3 linked regions of the Saccharomyces cerevisiae S288C genome follow. Changing the gene in region 2 together with the main gene of any one other region gives a genetic interaction. Each region holds a gene or a part of one and is shown on either strand. Other genes may lie near its edges.

Region 1 (7,931 bases), on a different chromosome or scaffold from region 2:
AGGCCATTGTGTAAGATTAGTAAATTCTGTTAACCACTCTGGAAAGGGCGTTTGCATATCTACTTCCCCCATCAATGCGGTACTCCCATTTGACGCAAGGCAATTTCCCTGTTTTAGAAAAAATGCTGCGAACAGCACAGATTGTATTGTATTGAAAATTTTCATCTCTTTTCTTGTGTAAAAGTAAATCTATCACTTAATTTTGTTTCTCTATATTCCACTTTGCTTACTTCTAAGCATCTACTTTGTTAGAACTATTGGTCTTTTTGAAAACACAAAAGTAAATCAACCCACTTGTTGGTATTTTTCTCTTTTAATTGCGATTGAATGACGGCCGGTCCGGAAAATGTGACATCTGGAAAAGAGAAATGTTGAAGCTGCTTCCAAGTGCATGAGACAGAATTTTTTTTACAGAAAATAGAAAGCGTTATCTTGTTAAATATTACTAACTAGTATAGTCATTCATTTTTTTCTTCCATAGTTGTAATATCTTTATTTTTTGTAAGAATTAGCGATAGCTGAGATTGCGTTCTTCAACTTCCTGCTCTCTCTTAGTCTTCTATCCAGGGTATCTCACCTTCCTGATTATCTTGTCAATAGCCATGGCTTCGCTGTTTCTTTATTATAAGAAGTATTTTTTGTTTTCTTCAAGAAATTTTTCGTATTAATATCTTTATGTTTTGTTTGCCTTTACTGGCCAGAAATTTTATACTTATTTTGAATAGAACACATTAAGTTCTACAGGTACCTGCAAAATATCGAGACAAAAGTTTGAACGAGAATATAAGGAATGTTGGTCATAAGGCGTAAACTAACAGAAGATGGCGGTAGCAAGATGTTACCAAGGCGACAACTCGCCTAGTATGTCACAATTATCTATAATTTTATTGTTTATATATAATCAAATCAACCGAAAATTACTCTGAACTTGACTCAAGGAGAAACTATGTTATCATATTTGACATGTTCAATTGAACCTCCAGACATGGTCAATCTCACAGCTTCAGCAAATTCTTTCTCACCCTCACACAGTAACTTTGCTGCATCCTTGTTTAACGGGTCATTGGGATTAGGCTCCAAGAACAAGAAAAGAAGCCCGGTTATAATACTCTGCAAATCTAGAGCTGGCGACCAGTCTTCTCGAAGAATATTTAGGCAAACGTTCCCCTTTAAATCGATATTTGGATGAAAGATCTTCTTCAAACATACAACTTTTGGTGGTTCAATCGGATAAACTTCGTTAAAATCCAAATTGAAATTAATAGATCCATAATTATAATATCCTTCATCAGGCCTAACAATTACCTCCAATTTCGGCGATTGTGATCTATCCGCACTATCTGGTGATGTTATTACATTCAAAGTCACTGTTGGTGGGAGGTCCAGCGAATCAAGGTCCCTTTTCAAACGAATTCTTGCTGCCGATAAATTAGGCTGAATAGAACTGCTGTTTTCATTTTCTTTTTGCTTTTTCTTTTGTAATTGGCGTAATTTCAACTATTTGAATAAAGCCAAGAATATACATATCCAGTACACATATACATTCTCACCCCCCAAAAAGATTATGTTAGTATTTTCGATCGCTAAAAACCGCCAATGAGAAACGGAAAGATATAGTTGCATCTACGTACCATTTTTATTATCTTGTTTTATATTCTCTAACTGATTCTTTAATGTCTCTAAGTACATTTATGAATGATTGGCCTTTTTCATCTCATTTTACCTTTTGGCTGATATCATCAAACGGCACGCGCAGGGATGAAGGTACGTTAATAGTATTTTTTTTTTTCAAGAATACTGCGAAGATGTTTGAGTTGTGGGAAAAAACATATTCAACATTAATAACTATTGTAAATCAAGAAAAAAATTAGATCACAAAAAGATAACTACAGCAATCGAAAACGCCACTCGTTTAAGGCAGATGAGATTTACCAGAGGATTGAAAGCCTCTTCATCTTTAAGAGCGAAAGCTATTGGAAGACTAACTAAACTTTCGACGGGTGCACCAAATGATCAAAACAGTAATGGTACAACATTAGATTTGATAACTCATACATTGCCTATTTTTTATTCCACAAATACGTCAAAGATATATACTATACCACTTACATTGAGTGAATGGGAAGTACTAACTTCGCTTTGTGTTGCAATCCCTACCACGCTCGATCTGGTAGAGACAATGCTTAAAGAAATAATTGCGCCTTATTTTCTGGAAACTCCAAGACAAAGAATTTCAGATGTTCTGTCCTCGAAATTCAAGTTGGAACAGATGAGAAATCCGATTGAATTGCTAACTTTCCAGCTGACTAAGTTTATGATTCAAGCTTGTGAACAGTATCCCGTTCTTTATGAAAATATAGGCGGCATCATTTCAACTTATTTTGAGCGTGTATTAAAGATTTTTACTATTAAACAATCTGGTCTACTATCATTAGTGGGCTTTATTAATGCATTTATCCAGTTTCCCAACTCTACAGAGCTTACTAAATTCACCTGGAAAAAGTTAGCGAAACTTGTGCTTCGTGGATCATTTCTAAACGAAGTTGATAAGATTTTGAATTCCTCAGCAACGTTTACCAATGATTCAATCGTCCAGTATTACGATGCTGGAAATGAGCTATCCAGTGCCTACTTATTGGAATTAATATCTCGCTTGCAAGTTTCGCTAATATCTCATCTGTTAAACACTTCACATGTCGGCGCCAACTTGAGTGAGTTCTTACTAAATCAACAATACCAATTTTACAAATTTGATCAAGAAGTAGCCGATGAAAACGATGATACGAAGTGTATTGATGACTTTTTTTTCAACGTAAGAAGCAATAAACAGTTTTTTACAGACATGTGTAAAATTTCCCTGCAATTTTGTTCTGAGTCACATATTCTCGACCTATCTACAGACAACCGTGCAAGATTTTCTTTTGATACTCGAGCCCACTACCTACAAACGCTATGTTTAATTCCGTTTATAGAAGATACAGAAAGCGAGCTTTTTGAAAGTTTTACAAACGTTGTTTCTGAATCTATTGATAAATTTTTCTTATCTGATGTCGTTACACCATCTTTGATAAAAGCAATTGTAGCTTCTGCCTCATTACTGAATTTTTTCACGGAAAAATTGTCATTAACTCTGATTCGTATGTTTCCTTTATTGGTAGCGTCTCCACATATCACGACTGAAACAGTTAATGATGTTGCAAAAATATTCACCACAGGGTTATACCCTCTAAATGAAGATGCAATTGTGAGTACAATTTATTCCATGAACAACTTATTAGCTGTTTCCGAGGACGGATCGCCCGTCCCGGTGCTCCGTGAGCGCCAATTAACAATAACATCTGGAAAAAATATTGAGAAAGACTACTTTCCCTTGCGAAATTCATCTGCCAGTTTGGATGGCACTGGTGCTCTGCTCGGAAATACAACTGTGGGCCAACTTTCCTCCCATGATGTCAATAGTGGAGCTACTATGACATACCATGCCTCTTTGATATCTAATTGTGTGGCTGCAACGACTACAATCGCCTCATACTATAACACCCAAAGCATAACAGCTTTGACTATCTCTATTCTTACGCAAAAAGTTAATTCTATGTCAAAGGAATTAGACGGTGTTATTTTGAATTCTTTGGCAAGACTGGCTCCGAATACTTCACTGACAGAATTTTCGCTTTTACTAAAGTTCTTCAAATCGAGAACTGTTATTGCAACAAAAATTGATGATAGCGCACTATTGAAAAATATTATTAAAGCGAAATGTGTGATATCAAAAGAATTGTTGGCCAGGCATTTTTCAAGTGACTTATATTTCATGTATCTTCATGATCTATTGGACTCAATCATTGCCAGTGGGGAAGTAGAACGATTGGAACATCACAGACCTCAAACGGAGATTTCCCGTGTTGCTGATCAAATCGCTACCTACTTAGAGCCCCTCGCCGCTCTACTACCTGTTCCAGGCGATACGCCATTGGACATCAATAAGGATGAAGTCACTACAAACAAGTTTAGGAACGCCTGGTTTAATTTTGTCATCCATGGGTACCACTTGGGCGGGCCTATTGTCAAACGAAATTTTTCTTTCTTATTAACTATTGCCTATAATTCACCACCGCTGGCTTCTGAATTTCCTGCTAATAACAAGGAGCTTTCATTGGAAATGAATACAATTTTGCGCCGCGGTTCATCTAACGAAAATATCAAACAACAAAAACAGCAGATAACCGAATATTTCAATACCAATATTGTTCAGTACAGAACAACTTCATCGTCTAAAATCATGTTTTTAGCGGCTGCCGTTCTTCTAGAAACGATAAGATGCGAGGCAGGTGATTGTTCGAAGACTCTACTGTACTTCTCAGACCCCTCCATTCTTTCCGGTTCAATTGAGAAGTGTATTGCAGTTTTGTCGGTTTCCATGATTAGAAAATATGCTAGGTTGATTCAAAAGGGTAACGATGCCATATTCAACTCCAAAATGATTGCTCAACAACTTAATAACTTGCTACTTTGCCTTTCTCATAGGGAACCAACTTTGCAGGATGCCGCTTTTCATGCCTGTGAAATATTTATCAGATCTATTCCATCATCGTTATGTCATCATTTGTCTCTCTACACCTTATTAGATATGTTAACAGCCCTATTTGATAGTATCTTGGACTCAGAGGCGCATAAATTTGAACCACGGTATGAATTTAAATTAAAACATTCTAAGACAACAATATTGGTTCCAAGCTCATCGTCCTGGCGCGCTACGACACTATCAAGATTGCACAAGTCAGCTAAAGAATGGGTAAGAATTCTATTGAATAGAAGCAACCAGGATACTAAGATTTTGTTGCAATCATACATATCAGATCTCGGTGAGTACAGCAGGCTAAATTCTGTTGAATTTGGTGTCTCATTTGCCATGGATATGGCTGGTTTGATTTTACCTGCAGATAAGGAATTATCAAGGCTTACTTATTATGGTCCAGAGAAACCTAACACGATTTCTGGATTTATATCTTTACATTCTTGGAGGTCAAAATATCTTTTCGATACCGCTATTACATCATCACCAGAGGATATCAAAAGGCAAATAGGTATTTCCACTCAAAACATAAGAAAAAATTTGACCTTAGGAAATAAGATTATAACTAAAGACGTAACTGATTTTCTTGATATGGCTACCGCGTTGTTAATTCTTGGCAATGGTGCACCAGCGTCATTGATATATGATATTGTGCACATCCCGTTCGAAGTCTTCACCTCTGCATCTTTAAAGATTGCTACAAACGTATGGTTAACAATCATAACTGAGAAGCCCGAAGTTGCACATTTGCTTTTAGTTGAAGTATGCTATTGCTGGATGCGCTCCATTGATGACAATATTGGTCTCTATTCTCGCGATCATGACTTAAAGGGCGAAGAATACCAAAAAATGGAATATTCCCCTTACGACAAAGCAGGTATCAACAGAGATGCAAAAAATGCATCCCAAGCTATGCAACCACATCTTCATGTTATTAAATTTTTTGCTTCCCATTTCGAGGGCACACTATTTCAAAGTGACTTTTTATTGAAAATTTTCACGAAATGTGCGCTTTATGGTATCAAGAATCTGTATAAGGCTTCACTACACCCGTTCGCTAGAATGATTCGCCACGAATTATTGTTATTCGCGACTCTCGTACTAAACGCAAGTTATAAGCAGGGATCCAAGTATATGGGCCGTTTGTCGCAAGAAATCACAAACGGTGCCCTAAGTTGGTTTAAAAGACCAGTAGCGTGGCCATTCGGCTCAAATGAGCTGAAAATCAAAGCAGATTTATCTGTTACTAGGGACCTTTTCCTTCAGCTCAACAAATTAAGCTCGCTAATGTCACGTCATTGCGGGAAAGATTACAAGATCCTGAACTATTTCTTGGCAAGCGAAATCCAGCAGATTCAAACCTGGCTTACTCCGACTGAGAAGATTGAAGGAGCCGACAGCAACGAGCTTACAAGCGATATCGTTGAAGCTACCTTTGCTAAAGATCCAACATTAGCAATAAATCTCTTACAACGATGTTATAGCAAGAAAGCTGAGGATGTTTTAGTGGGCTTAGTTGCAAAACATGCTTTAATGTGTGTGGGGTCCCCAAGTGCTCTTGACCTGTTCATAAAAGGAAGCCACCTGAGCAGTAAGAAAGACCTACACGCAACCTTATACTGGGCGCCAGTGAGCCCGTTAAAATCTATCAACCTTTTCCTTCCCGAATGGCAAGGTAATTCTTTTATCTTACAATTCAGCATATATTCGTTGGAATCACAAGATGTGAACTTGGCATTCTTCTATGTTCCTCAAATCGTACAATGTTTGAGATACGATAAAACCGGATATGTCGAAAGATTGATTTTGGATACTGCGAAAATTAGTGTGTTATTTTCTCATCAAATAATCTGGAATATGCTTGCAAACTGCTACAAGGATGATGAAGGTATACAAGAAGATGAAATCAAACCAACTCTAGATCGTATTAGGGAGCGTATGGTTTCAAGTTTCAGCCAATCTCATCGCGATTTTTACGAACGTGAATTTGAATTCTTCGACGAAGTAACTGGCATATCTGGTAAGTTGAAACCATACATAAAAAAAAGTAAGGCTGAAAAGAAACATAAGATCGATGAAGAAATGAGCAAAATTGAGGTGAAACCTGATGTTTATTTACCTTCTAATCCTGACGGTGTAGTTATTGATATTGATCGGAAGAGTGGTAAGCCACTTCAATCTCACGCAAAGGCGCCTTTTATGGCGACCTTTAAAATAAAGAAAGACGTAAAAGATCCTTTGACAGGTAAAAACAAGGAAGTTGAAAAATGGCAAGCTGCTATCTTCAAAGTCGGTGATGACTGTAGGCAAGATGTTCTAGCGTTACAATTGATCTCGCTATTTAGAACCATTTGGTCTAGTATTGGCTTGGATGTCTACGTTTTTCCCTACAGAGTTACTGCGACGGCACCGGGTTGTGGTGTCATCGATGTGCTACCCAATTCGGTATCCCGTGATATGTTAGGACGTGAAGCTGTTAATGGATTATATGAATATTTCACTAGTAAATTTGGTAATGAATCTACTATCGAATTTCAAAACGCACGAAACAACTTTGTTAAATCCTTAGCGGGATATAGCGTAATTTCGTATTTGTTGCAATTCAAGGATAGACATAATGGTAACATTATGTACGATGATCAAGGACATTGTCTACATATCGATTTTGGGTTTATTTTTGATATTGTCCCAGGTGGTATCAAGTTTGAAGCAGTACCATTCAAGCTGACGAAAGAAATGGTTAAAGTGATGGGAGGTTCGCCCCAGACCCCAGCGTATCTGGACTTTGAAGAACTTTGTATCAAGGCATATCTAGCCGCCCGTCCGCACGTGGAGGCCATAATTGAGTGTGTAAATCCTATGTTAGGAAGCGGTCTCCCCTGCTTTAAGGGTCACAAGACAATTAGGAATCTAAGAGCAAGATTTCAACCTCAAAAAACCGATCACGAAGCTGCACTATATATGAAGGCGCTAATCCGTAAAAGTTATGAAAGTATATTCACTAAAGGTTATGATGAATTCCAAAGGCTCACAAATGGCATTCCGTACTGATATACTTCGCACTTTACATATGCTTATATAAAAATACCAGTTTCCCATCGTCAATTACGCAGACGTAGCCTTCGTTTATTTTCTCTCTTTTTGTATATCATTGTATTAATCATAATCCATTGTATTTTACTTTGTCTTATCTGGCTTTAATGAATGACGCCGGTCACACGCGGGTGCCTGATTCTCGATTGTGCCAAGCCATTTGGGCACGGTGTCAAATTACCTAAAAAATGGCCGAGAGCCGCAAAAGGGAGGTCCGCGGGGCCGGGCAATACCCTTTGTTTTTCGAGCATTTCGGCGCCGAAAT
Region 2 (5,354 bases):
TCAAAGTTTATGGTGAATTTGAGTTCTGGGTGGCCTCTGTTAAAGTTTTAGCCATTATGGGTTACTTGATATATGCTTTGATTATTGTCTGCGGTGGATCCCACCAGGGCCCTATCGGTTTCAGGTACTGGAGAAATCCAGGAGCCTGGGGGCCAGGCATCATCTCCAGTGATAAAAGTGAAGGCCGTTTTCTCGGATGGGTCTCCTCCTTGATTAATGCTGCATTTACGTACCAAGGTACTGAACTGGTTGGGATCACCGCTGGTGAAGCGGCTAACCCAAGAAAGACCGTTCCAAGAGCTATCAATAAAGTCGTCTTTAGAATCGTACTATTCTATATTATGTCTTTGTTCTTTATTGGTCTACTGGTTCCATACAACGATTCCCGTTTATCTGCTAGTTCTGCTGTTATTGCATCATCACCCTTCGTTATTTCCATTCAAAACGCTGGTACTTATGCTCTTCCAGATATTTTCAACGCCGTGGTGTTGATTACTGTTGTATCTGCCGCTAATTCGAATGTTTACGTTGGTTCCCGTGTTCTTTACTCTTTAGCTAGGACTGGTAACGCACCAAAGCAATTTGGATACGTCACCAGACAGGGTGTTCCATATCTCGGTGTTGTTTGCACTGCTGCATTGGGTCTTTTGGCATTCCTGGTTGTCAATAACAATGCAAACACTGCATTTAACTGGTTGATCAACATTTCCACTTTGGCTGGGTTATGCGCCTGGTTATTCATCTCTTTGGCACATATTAGGTTCATGCAAGCTTTAAAGCACCGTGGTATTTCTCGTGATGATCTGCCCTTCAAGGCCAAATTGATGCCTTATGGTGCCTACTACGCAGCCTTTTTTGTCACCGTCATCATATTCATCCAAGGGTTCCAAGCGTTCTGTCCGTTCAAAGTTTCTGAGTTTTTCACATCTTACATCTCCTTGATTCTTTTAGCCGTTGTGTTCATTGGTTGCCAGATATACTACAAATGCAGATTTATTTGGAAGCTAGAAGATATTGACATCGATTCCGACAGAAGAGAAATCGAAGCAATTATTTGGGAAGACGACGAGCCTAAGAATTTATGGGAGAAATTCTGGGCTGCTGTTGCATAGTCACAGAACCTCTTGCATGCCTTCAAAATAGAAAAAAATAAAAAAATAGACGTTTCATTAATCAAAATAGCCTGTAGAGATTTTGAGGGATTGCCCCAAACTTTATGTATAATATCACCACTTATTATTCACTATTCATAGTATGTTACATCATAAGGCCATTGTCACCTTCGGCCAGCGATAGTACTCAAATCTATAATAAATTTTCCATATTATCCTTTACGTACTTGATAGCGTGTATAACAGGGTCATTATTCACGATATGTTCAACTGTTGTCATTTTCGTGTTATTGCACTGAAACAAAAGAACCCTACCAAAAAATTCGTTAGAGAAAAACTAAAAGTACAAGATCTTATACTGAAGACCCTTCATTTTTTAGGCCCAACTTCTATATTAAGAAGATCCCTGGACCCTGCTAGAAATTTTCAATTAGCTTATCATTTTTCTTCATTGCGAGCGTTCGTTTTCATTAAGCATTCGTTCTCTTCACTATGCATAAAGCATCCAGTTCAAAGAAAAGCTTTGATGATACTATTGAACTAAAAAAAAATGAACAATTACTGAAACTGATCAACTCTAGTGAATTCACCCTTCACAATTGTGTGGAGTTACTGTGCAAACACTCCGAAAATATTGGTATACATTACTATTTATGTCAGAAATTGGCCACATTTCCTCACAGCGAACTACAGTTCTATATTCCCCAACTAGTACAGGTCCTCGTCACCATGGAGACAGAATCAATGGCTTTAGAAGATTTACTATTAAGGTTGAGGGCGGAAAACCCTCATTTTGCACTACTGACGTTTTGGCAGTTACAAGCGTTACTAACGGATTTATCTACTGACCCCGCTTCTTATGGCTTCCAAGTGGCTAGAAGAGTCTTAAACAACTTACAAACCAATCTCTTTAACACAAGTTCAGGTAGCGATAAAAATGTTAAAATACATGAAAACGTTGCACCGGCCTTAGTTCTTTCCTCTATGATAATGTCGGCTATAGCATTCCCCCAATTAAGCGAAGTGACCAAACCATTAGTGGAATCTCAAGGTAGAAGACAAAAAGCTTTCGTTTTTAAGTTGGCTAGAAGTGCAATGAAAGATTTTACCAAGAACATGACCTTGAAAAATACCCTACTAAACAAGAAAACTTCCAGATCCAAAAGAGTTAGCTCAAATCGCAGTTCAACTCCGACTTCTCCAATAGATTTAATAGATCCAATAAAAACTAAAGAAGATGCATCCTTCAGGAAATCCAGACATAGTGAGGTAAAATTGGATTTCGACATTGTGGATGATATAGGTAACCAGGTCTTTGAAGAAAGAATCTCATCTTCAATCAAACTCCCAAAACGTAAACCTAAGTATTTGGATAATTCATACGTTCATAGGACATATGATGGCAAAAATATAAACAGGGACGGAAGCATTTCAAATACCGCAAAGGCTCTCGATGGAAATAAAGGTGATTATATTTCTCCAAAGGGACGTAATGATGAAAATAATGAGATTGGTAACAATGAAGATGAAACTGGTGGTGAAACGGAGGAGGACGCGGACGCTTTAAACTCTGATCACTTCACCAGTTCTATGCCAGATCTGCATAATATTCAACCAAGGACTTCTTCTGCTTCATCTGCTTCTTTAGAAGGGACACCTAAGTTAAACAGGACCAATTCCCAACCCCTTTCGCGCCAGGCATTCAAAAACAGTAAAAAAGCGAATTCTTCTTTGAGTCAAGAAATTGACTTGTCGCAATTATCGACCACTTCAAAAATAAAAATGTTAAAAGCAAATTATTTTCGTTGCGAGACACAATTTGCCATTGCGCTAGAAACAATATCTCAAAGGCTAGCTCGAGTACCGACAGAAGCTAGATTGAGTGCCTTACGAGCCGAGTTGTTTCTATTAAACAGGGACCTACCAGCGGAAGTAGATATCCCCACTTTATTGCCTCCAAATAAAAAAGGAAAGTTACATAAATTAGTGACCATTACTGCTAATGAGGCACAAGTTTTGAACTCTGCAGAAAAAGTTCCATATTTACTCCTGATAGAATACTTGAGAGACGAATTTGATTTTGACCCAACAAGTGAAACCAATGAAAGATTATTAAAGAAGATCAGTGGTAATCAGGGAGGCTTGATATTTGATTTAAATTACATGAATAGAAAAGAAAACAACGAAAATAGAAATGAAAGTACTCTTACTAGCAACAACACTCGATCTTCGGTATATGATAGTAACTCGTTCAACAACGGGGCCTCCCGCAATGAAGGTCTATCCAGTACCTCAAGAAGTGATTCAGCGTCCACAGCTCATGTTAGGACTGAAGTCAATAAAGAGGAAGATTTAGGTGATATGTCAATGGTAAAAGTCAGGAACAGAACGGATGACGAAGCGTATAGAAATGCTTTAGTAATACAGAGTGCCGCAAATGTTCCAATTTTACCTGATGATAGTCAAGACAGAAGCCCAGAGTTGAACTTTGGCTCAAACTTGGACGAAGTACTCATCGAGAATGGAATTAATAGCAAAAATATACATAGCCAAACTGACGCTTTAGCAGACCAGATGAGAGTTTCAGCTGTTATGTTAGCACAATTGGATAAGTCGCCACAACAGTTATCAGAAAGTACCAAACAAATCCGCGCTCAAATTATTTCATCAATGAAGGAGGTGCAGGATAAATTTGGTTACCATGATTTGGAAGCCCTTCATGGAATGGCAGGTGAGAGAAAATTGGAAAACGATTTAATGACGGGTGGTATTGACACTTCATATCTAGGTGAAGATTGGGCTACCAAGAAAGAGAGGATACGTAAAACTTCGGAATATGGCCATTTCGAAAACTGGGATTTATGTTCTGTAATCGCCAAGACGGGTGATGATTTGAGACAGGAGGCGTTTGCATACCAGATGATTCAAGCGATGGCCAATATTTGGGTTAAAGAAAAAGTTGACGTTTGGGTTAAAAGAATGAAAATTTTAATTACTAGTGCGAATACGGGACTTGTGGAGACCATCACAAATGCTATGTCTGTGCATAGTATTAAAAAGGCTTTAACCAAAAAAATGATTGAAGATGCAGAACTAGATGACAAGGGTGGTATTGCCTCTTTGAATGATCACTTCCTTAGAGCTTTTGGTAATCCTAATGGATTTAAGTATAGAAGAGCACAAGACAACTTTGCTTCTTCGTTAGCCGCATATTCTGTCATTTGCTATCTCTTGCAGGTTAAAGATAGACACAACGGTAACATTATGATCGATAACGAAGGCCATGTAAGTCACATCGATTTTGGATTTATGCTATCAAATTCACCCGGCTCAGTGGGCTTTGAGGCCGCACCATTCAAATTAACTTACGAATATATTGAACTGCTAGGCGGAGTAGAGGGAGAAGCGTTTAAAAAGTTTGTTGAACTAACTAAAAGTTCGTTCAAGGCTCTGAGAAAGTATGCTGATCAAATCGTATCAATGTGTGAGATTATGCAAAAGGACAATATGCAGCCTTGTTTCGATGCTGGCGAACAAACAAGTGTACAACTACGACAAAGGTTCCAATTGGACTTATCAGAAAAAGAAGTTGATGACTTCGTAGAAAATTTCTTGATAGGTAAATCTTTGGGTAGTATTTACACCAGAATATACGACCAATTTCAACTTATTACACAGGGTATATATAGCTGAGAAGGAAAATAGCTGTGACAGAACTGGAAAAACAATTTGCAAATGTCCGGAGAACAAAAAAATTGGAATTTTAGTAAAAGGAATATACATATATTTATTTATTGCCGAGAATAATAGAGCAGCTGACTCAGAAAAAGCAAGGTAAAAGAATGAGAGTAAAATAAATATGTGGTTAATTAACCATACATATAAATTATTATCTTATTTTCTGCGTAAAGCGTCAAACCGTTTCTTCAACTCATCTAGTTCATCATTTTCTTGCTCCTTCTTAGTCTTTCTTTTTGTAGTTTTCTTTTCTGATTGTTTCTTTTCGATCACTTCCTTTTTGATATCTTTCGGAATCTTGAGCTCGTTCTTGATATTTTCACTATTCTGCCTAGGCTTTTTAACAGTGATAGGGTGTTTAGCATCTGCATTGTCATTATCGTCATTATCTAAGGCTAAAATAGGCTTTTCTTCGTCATTATCCTCGATATCTCCCGAGGGGTCACTAAAGTCTGAAGAAATGTTAGAAGACGACGAAGATAAGGAATTCTCCAGCTTACTATA
Region 3 (4,030 bases), on a different chromosome or scaffold from region 2:
TCTTTGAAATTCTTCCTTTGAAGAAAATTCGTCCTCATCTCCCAAGAGAGCCAGAAGTGTGTTTATATTAAACGTGCAGCGCTTAGGGATTCGGAGCAATTGGATAGTTTCACTTTTCAATTCATCATTCTTGAACTTCGAAGGTTCTACGAAAAGGCCATATCCACTTTTGGGGTCATCAATGGTGGATGGTTTTAATGAAAGGCTTTTATGAATGAAGATATTTCTAGAGTTCGAGTAAAAACGGAACACTTCCTCCATTTCAACTTTCCTTTTGGTTAACTTCGATTTTTCAGTGGTTATGAGGATGGCGAATTATACTATTTCTCTTTTTTTTCCTTTACACGATCTAGCATTGCTAACTACTTTTGATGCATGAAAACGCAACATATATTAGTAAGTGAAATATGTATTGTTGCGAAGATCTTTATAAGATTGTCTACATAGAGGTATTATCCTTCTAAAAATATACATAGAGAAGAGAAAGGATTGATAAGAAACGCCAGAGGATTATACATTAGGTAACGTAAAAACAGCAGTTTCTTCAGCTTGGGTGGAGTTGACAGAATAGTTGACCTTCCACTTGACTTTCAAAGCCTTTGAAGGGTTAGCTGGCGCATTTTCAATTGTACCTTCTTGAGAGATACCATCTTTAGCGTTGCCAATCATAAAGTTACTCGATTGGGGTTGCAATTTCAAAGACATTGACTTAGGGACTGCTAATAAGAACACTAAGTTGGAGATCGGTGACGAACTTAAGTTTGTAAAGAACGATTTTATCCTTATAACTGAGTTTGACTCCCTAGATATTTCGAACTCAATCTTCAAGTTAGGAGACTGATTGACTAGGGTTCTTGCGGGCGCAGTAGTAGTACCTGTTGTTGGATTAAATCCCATCAAAAGATCGAACCCACTACTGTTTACTGCTTGGGAATTAGTTGGCGATTGAGGAGTTGAAAGTCCCAAAAGATCTAAAGTGTTGTTCGAGTTGTTAGTAGTAGTAACTGGTGGTGCGGGTTGAGAGGACCCCAACACGATATCGCCTCCCAGACCAAAGGATGCTTGGTTAGCGGTTGAAGGGTTCGAAATAGATAAATCGGTCAAATCGCCCAATAAGTCATTGACAGATGTTTCCGCTGCTGCTGGTGTACCCGTGCCGTTGGTATTGTTGTTGCCTTGAGAGGGCGCTTCGTCCAAATCATTGAAATCGATTAAGTTGATTTCATTCGTTAAAGCACCAGAAGATTGTTGTAACGGAGCAGAAACATGACTTGGATGTATCTGCGAAGCAGCGTTGGAGTCACCGTTTTTCAATAAGTTGAATTTTTCCAATAGTTGATTAACTGTATCATTAAACTTCAATAGATCCTGCACTAACGCATCGTCTTCCTGTTCTTCCTCAATGATCTTTTGAAATTTTGGTTGAGCTACCTTTAATGCACTGTGAAGTTCTTGTGTAGTTTCGTTATCCCAGTTTTGTGAGTCAGGTGATTCCAGCATTTCATTCAGCAAATCGGCTTTACGCTTCAATTTGTTCAATTCACTGGAAATAGCCTGTTTAGCTTGAACGGCATTGTCTTCTTTGAACCCTGCCATGATTTTCATTAATTTGTTAGCTTCCCTCAAATCTTCAGGTTTACCACGCCTGATCAATTCTTCGAGTTTTGCAGCTTGAGCAATTTCCTGCTCCTTTTGAATTTCACTAGCGGTCTTCAATTGATTACTAGGCTTCAAAACTGCTAGGTCGGATTCACTGATTTTGGGGAATGCATAACCCTTATATTTCAACAAACGGTGCATGTCTCTAATATAACCCATATCATTCTTGTAGCTTGAGTGTTTACAAATTGTTTGATACCATTCTTCAATAGCAGTTAAAATCAATCTCTGAATCTTAGAATAACGTAATGGTGGGTGACCTGGAAATCTCTTGACCAGTTCATTCAAAAATTCCTTTCTAGAAATTTGCAAGTGGAATGGGTATCCACAATTCTTGACAAGCACGTCTAATAGAGATAACGCGAATATTGCCACGTGCGATTCTCTATTGTTGATCAGTTTAGCAAGTGCAATGGCAGCATCCCTAGGGGCAGCGCCCTGTTTTTCATTAATGTAGTCAGCAATGTCAAGATTCAACGCCAAGTCTGGTTCAGCAAGTGACATTCTGCAAGCTCTTTGAATCTTCCTCAAAAGAGGATTGCCCAAGGCTTGAGGTTTCCTGACGGGCAACTCAGACAAATATATGCTATGTGAGTGCGGATGGGACATGATGCAGTATCACGATTAGCAATTCAGCTATGAGTTATGTTGCTCTTTGTTTTGTTTATGGAAATTGTCCTATGGTAAGTCTCTTTTTTTTGCAATCGTGATTACAGAAAAAAAACAGGGCGCTGGAAAAGTGAAGAATCCGAAATTTTTTTCGAAATCACCATTGTTTGTTTTGAGTAGATCAAAGTCTTGAAAGGTGCAGCAAGATATAGGATCTTGACCTGAAGAGTATTGATAACGAACTACATCACATATTGTATCAAATAATGAGTGCTGCCACTGCGACTGCTGCCCCTGTTCCTCCTCCTGTAGGGATATCCAATCTTCCCAACCAGCGTTATAAAATTGTTAATGAAGAAGGTGGTACATTCACCGTGATGTTATGTGGTGAGAGCGGATTGGGTAAAACTACATTTATTAATACCTTATTTCAGACTGTCTTGAAAAGGGCAGATGGTCAGCAACACCGCCAAGAACCCATCAGAAAGACTGTAGAAATCGACATCACAAGAGCTTTGCTGGAAGAGAAGCATTTCGAATTACGCGTTAATGTCATCGACACCCCAGGTTTTGGAGATAACGTGAATAACAACAAAGCCTGGCAACCATTGGTGGATTTTATTGATGATCAACACGATTCTTATATGCGTCAAGAGCAGCAACCGTACCGTACTAAGAAATTTGACTTGAGAGTTCATGCCGTTCTGTACTTCATCAGGCCCACTGGACATGGTTTAAAGCCAATTGACATTGAGACTATGAAGAGATTGTCAACCAGAGCCAATCTGATTCCAGTTATTGCGAAAGCTGATACATTGACTGCCCAAGAATTACAACAGTTCAAGTCCAGAATCAGGCAAGTAATAGAAGCTCAAGAAATTCGTATTTTCACGCCTCCATTAGACGCTGATTCTAAGGAAGATGCCAAAAGTGGCAGTAATCCAGATTCTGCCGCTGTTGAACATGCAAGACAGTTGATAGAAGCAATGCCATTTGCCATAGTAGGGTCTGAAAAAAAATTTGACAATGGGCAAGGCACTCAGGTAGTTGCAAGGAAGTATCCTTGGGGACTTGTGGAAATCGAAAACGATTCTCATTGTGATTTCCGTAAGCTCAGAGCCCTGTTACTGAGGACTTATCTATTAGATTTGATTTCTACCACCCAAGAAATGCATTACGAAACATACAGAAGATTAAGACTTGAGGGTCACGAGAACACCGGGGAGGGGAATGAAGATTTCACTCTTCCAGCAATTGCACCAGCAAGGAAATTGTCACACAATCCTAGATACAAAGAAGAAGAAAATGCATTGAAGAAGTATTTCACTGACCAAGTCAAAGCTGAGGAGCAAAGATTTAGACAATGGGAGCAAAACATTGTTAACGAAAGAATCAGACTGAACGGTGACTTGGAAGAAATTCAAGGAAAGGTAAAAAAACTAGAAGAGCAGGTCAAAAGCTTGCAAGTAAAAAAATCCCATTTAAAATGATGATTAATTAATGTCTTCCTCTTTGTCTCGTCAATTTCAACGCCTATCTCTTTGTCTCTTCTTTTGTCGCAGCAATACGCACATATATATATGTATCTTATAAAAATATTTCAAATATATCTCAAAAAACATAGAATACGTAACACAATCGAACAGTAAAAACAAAAATAAACCGGTTTTTTCACGTTACTCTTGGGCACTTAGGTACCGTTCTGCATCCAAAGCAGCAATGCATCCGGAACCAGCAGAAGTAACTGCTTGTCTATACCTAG

The links. Genes that interact genetically often act in the same process or in processes that back each other up.
Region 1: of PIK1 (region 2) and STT4, changing one enhances a phenotype caused by changing the other (phenotypic enhancement), as found in Saccharomyces cerevisiae (3 studies listed by BioGRID, with this or other methods).
Region 3: mutations in PIK1 (region 2) and GGA2 impair growth when combined (synthetic growth defect), as found in Saccharomyces cerevisiae (3 studies listed by BioGRID, with this or other methods).

What each region holds. Positions count from the first base shown.
Region 1 is NC_001144.5:737,854-745,784, reverse strand, and holds STT4 (1-phosphatidylinositol 4-kinase STT4), read left to right. Parts: upstream 1-1,921; coding exon 1,922-7,624; downstream 7,625-7,931. Other genes in the region: chitin deacetylase CDA1, read right to left, coding at 1-165; NEDD8-conjugating protein UBC12, read right to left, coding at 934-1,497, 1,632-1,634. UniProt on the Saccharomyces cerevisiae protein: Acts on phosphatidylinositol (PI) in the first committed step in the production of the second messenger inositol 1,4,5,-trisphosphate. STT4 functions in PKC1 protein kinase pathway.
Region 2 is NC_001146.8:139,274-144,627, forward strand, and holds PIK1 (1-phosphatidylinositol 4-kinase), read left to right. Parts: upstream 1-1,604; coding exon 1,605-4,805; downstream 4,806-5,354. Other genes in the region: LYP1 (lysine permease), read left to right, coding at 1-1,112; IST1 (Ist1p), read right to left, coding at 5,007-5,354. UniProt on the Saccharomyces cerevisiae protein: Acts on phosphatidylinositol (PI) in the first committed step in the production of the second messenger inositol 1,4,5,-trisphosphate. PIK1 is part of a nuclear phosphoinositide cycle and could control cytokinesis through the actin cytoskeleton.
Region 3 is NC_001140.6:326,541-330,570, reverse strand, and holds GGA2 (phosphatidylinositol 4-phosphate-binding protein), read right to left. Parts: upstream 2,269-4,030; coding exon 511-2,268; downstream 1-510. Other genes in the region: CTM1 (cytochrome c lysine N-methyltransferase), read right to left, coding at 1-261; septin CDC12, read left to right, coding at 2,535-3,758; thioredoxin-disulfide reductase TRR2, read right to left, coding at 3,945-4,030. UniProt on the Saccharomyces cerevisiae protein: May play a role in the regulation of membrane traffic through the trans-Golgi network.